Saccharomyces cerevisiae S288C: one gene and its partners. The gene in region 3 interacts genetically with the main gene of each other region. Each region holds a gene or a part of one and is shown on either strand. Other genes may lie near its edges.

What was found. Genes that interact genetically often act in the same process or in processes that back each other up.
Region 1: mutations in YIR016W (region 3) and EFM6 together harm fitness more than expected from each alone (negative genetic interaction), as found in Saccharomyces cerevisiae (2 studies listed by BioGRID).
Region 2: mutations in YIR016W (region 3) and PEX14 together harm fitness more than expected from each alone (negative genetic interaction), as found in Saccharomyces cerevisiae (2 studies listed by BioGRID).

Annotation. Positions count from the first base shown.
Region 1 is NC_001146.8:586,607-589,436, forward strand, and holds EFM6 (putative protein-lysine N-methyltransferase), read right to left. Parts: upstream 1,242-2,830; coding exon 501-1,241; downstream 1-500. Other genes in the region: KSH1 (Ksh1p), read right to left, coding at 1-214; FAP1 (Fap1p), read right to left, coding at 1,657-2,830. UniProt on the Saccharomyces cerevisiae protein: S-adenosyl-L-methionine-dependent protein-lysine N-methyltransferase that methylates elongation factor 1-alpha (TEF1 and TEF2) at 'Lys-390'.
Region 2 is NC_001139.9:214,709-217,798, reverse strand, and holds PEX14 (Pex14p), read right to left. Parts: upstream 1,527-3,090; coding exon 501-1,526; downstream 1-500. Other genes in the region: NUT1 (Nut1p), read right to left, coding at 1-275; LYS5 (holo-[acyl-carrier-protein] synthase), read left to right, coding at 1,703-2,521; protein geranylgeranyltransferase type I subunit CDC43, read right to left, coding at 2,588-3,090. UniProt on the Saccharomyces cerevisiae protein: Component of the PEX13-PEX14 docking complex, a translocon channel that specifically mediates the import of peroxisomal cargo proteins bound to PEX5 or PEX21 receptors.
Region 3 is NC_001141.2:380,778-383,925, reverse strand, and holds YIR016W (uncharacterized protein), read right to left. Parts: upstream 1,299-3,148; coding exon 501-1,298; downstream 1-500. Other genes in the region: MET28 (Met28p), read left to right, coding at 1-370; ribonuclease P protein subunit RPR2, read right to left, coding at 1,544-1,978; VLD1 (Vld1p), read right to left, coding at 2,112-2,840.

The DNA.
Region 1 (2,830 bases), on a different chromosome or scaffold from region 3:
TGTTAAATTGACTGATGGCCATCAAAATACATGCTAAACTAACATATGGACTGGCCCTTTCACCAACACGTGCCATTTTCCAGAAGGCCCCCAAAACCTCATGATTTTTGTAACGATCTAGGAGAGACGGCCACTGCCCATGAACATAAGAACATGAACAAATCAGTAACAATATCACTTGCAGAAGAGAACGAAAATTAAATAATGCAGACATATTCTGTCGTGGAAAAAGGACGCAACTTTGCAAAGTAAATCGATCCGGCTCTCTAGTTATTTTGCAAACGATGTTTACCGCTGTTCTGTCTTTATCCTTGAGTTGTCGTTGCTCACTCTATTGAAGATCAAAATTTCGCTCAAGAAGAGCAGTCCCACCATGCGTACACCACACTACAAAAATGAATGTTATATCGTTTTTTCATGAATTACAAATGTCTATCGAAAAGTTCATTACTAAATATAATAAGATCAGGATCATTAAGAGATAAATTCACTGTGTCAGGTTACTTCCTGATAAGCTGAAACAAGTGGGTTCTTTCCTTAAGATAATGTTCAAATTTACTAAAATCTGTAATTTCAAGAACGTCAAAATTTCTTTTAATCTTGTTGAAAAAATGTTTATCAGCTTTTCTTCTCTTCTTGTAAGCCATCAAGATTACAGGTGGGTTTATGCAGTGAGTGAGATCAAGTAGTGTTTTTTCTAGTAATGGAAAAGCTTCCTCGAGATACACACAATCAGCTGCCAAAACTAGATCAACGTTATTTGCTTGCATAGCACCTTCTTGAGGTGAGAAATCTGCCGACAGCGGCTCACCCCACCAAAGTTCCCTCGCAAGAACTTCATACTGAACTTCGTCCAGTTCTATATTTCTTTTCAATAGTGGTATCAACTTGTCAATGTCCGTAACATATACTTTAGTGCCATCGTGGAATGTGTTTTTTTCCAACAACCCCACGCACAATCCAACTAAACCTGTACCACTACCCAATTCTAAGACTTTTTTAAATTGTTTCGTACCATTGACCGTCTTACTTAGCAGATGGTCAACTGATTTCTCGAGTATGTACTCGCACAACAGTTCGCCAGCGATCCAGACTTTACCGCCACAACCACTTTCACCGCCATCTTCACAAATTTTCAATGCAGGCAATAATTTTCCACCGAAGGAAAGGTCTGTTTGACCGAGATGCTCCTTTGGCCTAGGAACAACTAGATCTCCAAACCCACCAAATATACTCTCCATACTCAATACCTCACTAGTCGCGTTTTTATAACGTTCTAGGGAAAATTATGGGCCATTTTTTTACATAGAGCCTGCTCATCATAACTTTTGAATTATTTAAATACGAAGAATTACTTTCAGTGTTTGGGTGTGAGGGACTTTTCGTTTGGTCAAGCCAAAAAAGCTTAAGAGAAAAGAAAAATCTCTTCTGGTTTTACTTGACTAGGTTTCCAAATTATAATATCCGTATTATTAACGTGACACTCAGTATTCTCCATTCGTTTACGGGAACGTTGATATGTAAACATATGCAGATCCTCGTATTTTAGCAACGACAGGGAGAAACAAGAAATGAGATAGGATGAAAAAAAATAAAAGTTAGATATTTCTATTTAATTAGAATTCCGCGTAATAAATAATGACACGCTATTATAGTTCATGTATTATTATCCATTACAGGACTATCCTCTTGAATTACGGGCGTATCCAACCTTCTTTCAAGTTCTTCTTCAGTTGAACACAACGAAATGGAATCGGCCAAAAATGCCTCTTTGGCCATAAAATCGAAGTGTCCAACCAAAAGCTCCATGTCACGTTCGGTATTCACGGATGCTGTTTCGTAATTTTCAGGATACACTAGTGCTGTTTTGCCATCATCAAGGATTAGGTATTGAGGATTCACTACTAACGTATGCTTGAGATGTGGTTCAAAAAATCTCCTTAGATCTTCGGCAGTATTTCCAGCAACCAAATTTTGAACCAAAAAACCATTTTTCTTAGCCACCTCTACTTTAGGTTCCGTATCTTGAACCTCGAAGTTGATTAGTTTAGCTGTGGTGCGAGCTTGAAATTCTTGTGCTTTCCTTTCCTTCTGCAATTGTTTAAATGATTCATATAGTGGGTAAGCTTCTGCTAATGATAAGACTGGTTTATTGCTTGCGCCATTATCTTCTTTCTTAATAAATACAGATCTCATGGGCTCTCTGTCCTGAGACTCGGAATATAGGCCGTAAGCTTTGGCTAGTTCACGGATGAAGTGGCGTTGAGGAGGCCTCATAGGTTTGAAATGCAAGCTTGAACGTGTTTTATCGTCCATTAATTTATTAAGAATAGCTTCAATTTGTGAACACCATCTTTCTTGCTTTGAATATACTGATAATGCTGCCTCTGTAAACGGTAACTGCAGTTCTTCAAATGTTGTAGCAACAGAGACCAGTTTTTTTAACGCATCTAGTTCATTACTTGTAAAATTATTGGTTTCTTCCTTAATTCCAAATGCCTCCTTCAATTCCTTTAGTCGTTTCAAAGCTTCACATTCTTCATTGCAATCCAGCACGGAAGATTCAGTTACACTTACTCTATCACTTTTTGCGCCACAAGTAACACTTTTTTTGATCCTTCCACATTTACAATAAATTTTCACTAGCGTGGCACAAGGTAAATCGGGACACTCTGTCTTACCATGGCACGGTTTAGGACATTCATGATTACAATTGAGCCTTTTTTGCCCACAGGTCTGTTTACACACCTTTTGGCAATTTCCTGGTAAATGACATGTTTTTTGGCAGGTATGATAACAGTAAGAGAGTGGTATCCCACATTTTATTCCA
Region 2 (3,090 bases), on a different chromosome or scaffold from region 3:
ATTTTAACAAAATCGGAGCAAACAATATCTAGAGCCTCGTGTAAGTGTGTAGTATCTGCAGTAGCAGCCGTGTTGTTGCTGGGTGTATCCACCAAATCGGACGCTTTCTTGACCTCATTTATATTTGCAGTTGTTGTTGTATCTTCTTCTTCCTCTTGAATCAAAGACGGGAACTTTTCATTAAAGAATTCCTTGTAAAGGTTCGAAAATTCCATGGAGGTCAATTGCCGCTCAGCACATTTTAGTGCTAAGTTGTATACTGATTCTTTTTCCATGGCAATTCAAGGTCATATACTAGCCACGAATAGCTTTGTTGAGGTGGTTTAGCTTACTCATATTTGTAGATTACTGTTTCAATTAGCTGCCAATATATTAGTGCTACTAAAAATGCCTTTCAAAAGCAAATGTTCCGGGTAACAATCAGATTGAATGTCCATAGTATCTAGGACAGTTACAATTACAATTTCCGTTAAAAAACTAATTACTTACATAGAATTGCGCTATGGGATGGAGTCTTCGACCTGTCCATTTTGCCAGTCAGGGACACTGATCTCATTGGCGGCGGTATTTTTTTGCCATTCTGGAATGGAGGCGTTGCTATCAATAGTTTGTTCTCTTGCTTTTTTCCACGCTGGAACAGCATTGTCATCTTTATTAGCATCGCTGCCGTTTTCCTTTTCTTTATCACTTTCTTCTTGCATGCCCATTTTGGCAAGAATCTCAGACGCAGATGGAATCGTATCTATGCCAGGTATACCATTAGGAGATATGGAAAATAATCTGTTGTCCTGCGCATTACCGGATTCCATACGGTTATTCATTAAGCTTTTCAGAGATTCCATTTCTTTTTGGATATTATTTAACTCTTGCATGCCGTCATTATCTGAAACAAATTTGTCGATCGTATTTTGCATATTGACCACCTCGAGTTTAACTATTCTAAACTCGTCTTCGATCTTTTCCCTGCTTCTTGTTGTCTGCACAAGCGCCTGTTTCAGTTCAGCAATCGTGTCACTAAGTTCCTTTAATGTTTCGCTTTCCTTTTTCCTAAACTCAGCTTGCTCCGCTTCGATGGCATTGAGGACTGTATCGATTTTGGAGAACTGATCATCAATTTCTTTTTTGTCCCCTTCCAACTTGCTTTTTGCTTCTGGTAAAATATTTGGTATCACATACCTTCTAGTTACTTCATATGCACCATACAACAGCCCAGCTGTGGCAGTAGCCATCACAAAATAGTCCTTCCAATCCCTGTGGGGCAGCGTTGGTGGCATCGCTTCATAGAGATACATATCCTGTGAGGCTCTATTCTCAGTACTACCAATTTTTTTCGATACTTCATCGCCTACGATACCGTCTTTCTTGGGCTCTTTCATGGCTATTTCAATCTCCTTTTCTGTTAACCCTTTGGATTTTAAAAATTCGATTTTCTTTAAAAGTGGAGCATCTTTAATGGACTCATCCTTTAAAAAGGATACTGCTGAGTCGAACAATGCCTTACGATCTTTACTGACCACGTCACTCATTCCTTATTCACCTTACAACTTCTCTGTTTTACTTGAGTTTTCAAATTGATGGGCAATTTCTTATATTTTTAAGCATTGAATATATGTTTTACAATTATCTTTCGGGCGCTTATTAAAACCGCTATGACTAAAATGAGAATGAGGAGAAAGAGAATCACTCAGCAAAAAAACCGTGGATGGTTAAAACGACTGAAGTAGTAAGCGAAGTTTCAAAGGTGGCAGGTGTAAGACCATGGGCAGGTATATTCGTTGTTGAAATTCAAGAGGATATACTCGCGGATGAGTTTACGTTCGAGGCATTAATGAGAACTTTGCCATTGGCGTCTCAAGCCAGAATCCTCAATAAAAAATCGTTTCACGATAGATGTTCAAATCTATGCAGCCAGCTGCTGCAGTTGTTTGGCTGCTCTATAGTAACGGGCTTAAATTTTCAAGAGCTGAAATTTGACAAGGGCAGCTTCGGTAAGCCATTCTTAGACAACAATCGTTTTCTTCCATTTAGCATGACCATCGGTGAACAATATGTAGCTATGTTCCTCGTAAAATGTGTAAGTACAGATGAATACCAGGATGTCGGAATTGATATCGCTTCTCCGTGCAATTATGGCGGGAGGGAAGAGTTGGAGCTATTTAAAGAAGTTTTTAGTGAAAGAGAATTTAACGGTTTACTGAAAGCGTCTGATCCATGCACAATATTTACTTACTTATGGTCCTTGAAGGAGTCGTATACAAAATTTACTGGAACTGGCCTTAACACAGACTTGTCACTAATAGATTTTGGCGCTATCAGCTTTTTTCCGGCTGAGGGAGCTTCTATGTGCATAACTCTGGATGAAGTTCCATTGATTTTCCATTCTCAATGGTTCAATAACGAAATTGTCACTATCTGTATGCCAAAGTCCATCAGTGATAAAATCAACACGAACAGACCAAAATTATATAATATCAGCTTATCTACGTTGATTGATTATTTCATCGAAAATGATGGTTTATAATGCCAATTTTTTTTTTTCGCTTGCTCACATTTATGTAATCGATAGACTCTTATTACTGTTTGAACTTCAAAAACAGCACCTTTTACTAAAATCATTAAATATTTCTTGAGGTATGCATAATTCTCCATTAAATTTCCCCTCAATTAATGCTAACGCAGCGCTCCCTAGACAGCTGTGATATAAATCAGCATCTTCTTCGTCATTTTTACTAAAGCCTCCAGTTAATGTTTTTTGCGTTCGATCAAGCAAATAATTTGTGACTAGTTCAGTTTGGCATAGCATTTTCCAATCCTTTGTTAGTAAGTGTAGTGAATTTAAGCACCAAAATGCGTAACACGTATCAGCGAACTTGTTCTCCCTTCCCTGGAAACCGCCATCATCAGATTGATCATAGCTGGCATTCAATTCGCTTTCAAATTTCATACATCCATGGCTTGATACTTGCCTATGTAATAGCCAGGTTATGGTGTCTTCTTTAAACTTGTCTGATAGCTTTTCCAAACTAGAGAGTAAAGCTAAGGTAGACAGCGCACAAGATGTGTACCCTGAGTGTGGTTCATTGTGGGCAC
Region 3 (3,148 bases):
TGGCCAGGATGTCTCGCAGTTTAAGAAGCTCCGCGAGCCGAGAAAGGGGAAGGTTGCCGCAACAACAGCAGTTGTTGTAAAAGAAGAGGAAGCTCCCGTGAGCACTTCTAACGAACTGGATAAGATTAAGCAAGAGCGGAGAAGAAAGAACACAGAGGCGTCGCAGCGGTTCCGCATTCGCAAGAAACAAAAGAATTTTGAGAACATGAATAAGCTGCAGAACTTAAACACGCAAATCAACAAACTTCGCGATCGTATAGAGCAATTGAACAAGGAAAATGAGTTTTGGAAAGCAAAGCTCAATGACATTAACGAGATTAAGTCTTTGAAATTGTTGAATGACATTAAGAGACGGAACATGGGCAGGTAGCCCGCGAAACGTGCGGGCCTGATGTCTTGTTTTTCCTCTCCAACTTCGATTTTTCGATTTTTCCGTTTCTTTACCTAGCATATATATACACACATCTATCTACATATAAATATATATATATGTATATTTATTATTTATAGCATTGCGCGTGAGACAAAAGCGAGATCTTTTCGTCCCACTCCGCATTGATCAAGGACCGTTTATATTCCACAGACTCTATCTCGCTGGGAGAGCACCATCCTATAGTACGAAAGTTTGTAATAACTCGAGCGTACTGAGCGTCTTCCAGTTGTTGTTGGCGGCGTAAAGACTGCGCGGCTGCAGATGTGACGATAAATCTCTCGGAATCTGGGCGGCTAGCGGGACATACTGAATGCGTATGTTTGTCTCTGGGCATACTGTTCCTTCGAAAGAAAATACTCGAGGCTTTGGCAAGAAAACTGAGTTTTTCTTGTTCTGCCGGAACGCTAAGGCTTCCAGTTATGTCTTCGCGGCCAGATTTTCCTTGGTGTAAGATTGCAGATATTGCGCTCACAGAACTACGGTGCCGCCGACTTTGAACGCGCGGGCTGGACGATGATGACGATGACATATCTAGAGCCTTGGATAGGTCTCGCGACATGGAACTGTCGTCGTCGTCTTCATCATCGTCGTCGTCGTCGTTCCTTGAGGCGTCTTCGACTAATGACGGAGCATGGATGGCGCCTGCGCCATCTCGCGATAGTGTCATGTACTTGTGAAAAGCCGCCGAATCGTCATCCACATCATCATGTGGACCGAGCAACGAGGGCAGCAGACCATCTATAGAACTTCCTCGCGAACACGGTCCTGGCTCTACACCTGGTCCTTGTTCATCATGAGTCAAAGTTTCCGTAGCAGTCACATCAACTGGTAGTCCGACGCCTAGCAAACACCTCGTGCCACTCATTACCGACCACAACACCTCCTTGCGGTGTTTATCCGCTATGCTGGCAAGACGGAATCCTACATTACCTTCTTCAAACGGGCGTCTCGTTTTTTTCCCTGTGTTTTATGTCGTAGTTTTCCCTCAAAATACAGGCACGTACCCCATGTATAGGGGCAAGGGGGTGGGGGGTCGGCTCTTAAAGAAAATCTGGAAACTCCGCATTTTTGTCCTGCTCAAAACATTGGTCCAAAACCCTACCAATAACCCTAAGAATTTAGTAGATTACCCTCCCGCTCCGAGTAGGTCCTGTAATTAGGATCGGCGCCAATATTAAAACGTTTAACGGTACCGCACCCACACATTACCGAAAGCGCTCCGTCGGATGTGATTTCCAGTTTTTTTGGGGTCCATAACAACCGATGGCATTTTTTACAAATTGTTCTCTTTATCGTAGGAAGCAGTGATGTCTTGGTTTTCTTACTAATTAGGTCCATTGATTTGATATAATTGCGTGCCAAAGGCGTATGTGCGTCTGTTCTTGCTTTCTGTCTTGCTCTTGTTTGGTAAGCGGATATTTGGTAGAGGTAGTTTAATCTATGGAAATGGTCCTGGTTCGCAATCGTCCTTGGTGGCGGTACTAGCAGAGTACCATTTTCGTCGATCTCAGGTTTCATCTTTCCTCCGTGTGCTTTCTTGCCCATCTTTTTGCTTGTCTTTTCTCTGTCGGCGATGTGGGAAGGACAGTAGAAGAACCACGTATTGTTTTATTTTCTGTTCATCTTTTTTTTCCGTTCTTTTCATTTTGGTAATTTTTTTTCTTTTCCTTTCTTGAATTTATTCGGCGATATTCAGTAGAGGAGTGATCTCTGTAGCGTCATCCCCGTCTGCCTGTTGAGGAATCGACTTGTCATGATTCTTGAGTACTATGAGTTCCGGTCCGGTTGCATCCATGTGCCAGGTATTAAGTTTGAGAATGTTGAGTGCGCCCTCTTCTTCTGCATTCAACTCCTTGACAATAAGTTTCACGTTCTGAAGACTCGAGCTCAGTGAGCCGTTTATTATTACAATCTGGCAGAAAAGTAATAAAATATCGAGTAGTACCAGAAGTAGCTTGCTAGGAAACGCTGTGGGTACCGGACAAGTAAATTCCCTTATCAAAAGCATTATCACAAATCCGTACGGTTTGGAACATATGTCTCTCGATACGTCTAGCCTAATGTGGTATACTATACAGTACGCTGTTTCTAGAAGTATTAGGCCTTGGTAATATCGTATGGCTTTGTTTATTATCATTCTTACAATAGGTGTTTCTAACCCTCTGATGGCAAGACTTTCATCATCTTCCTGATCATTGTCGCGGCCCACCTCTAAATAGTTCTTCTTCAGGTACCTGAGTGTCAATTCCTGAATGAAATCACAGAGCGATGAAATTATCCACCCCAGGAGGATCAAGAATAATGATCCATCTTTGATAAACCTCAAGTACAGGCAGCAATAAACGAATTTCTGCAAATTCGCTATCACTGACCTTTGTCGTCCATTGTCATCTTCCAAATGCAACATTTCCTTCCGATGCCCTGCTCCTTTCCCTTTCTGTATTAGCTTGTCATCTAAGCCTTCGTCATTGAAGTATCCCTTCCCTTTCTTTCCCTGGAGAAAAGCCATATGAGAAGTTTATATTACCCGGTTTAAAGTTTGTTTTTTTTTTTTTTTCTACCACTAGAATGCTCTCTATAGTACCCATGATGCATTAGTTGAACACTAGCAGGTCAGGTTTTGTACCCTCCCGAATTATGGCTATCTCCTCAATTGCGATGACATTGTCAATATGAAACTAAGTTGTCAATTATCCTAGTTTGCGGCCACCTATG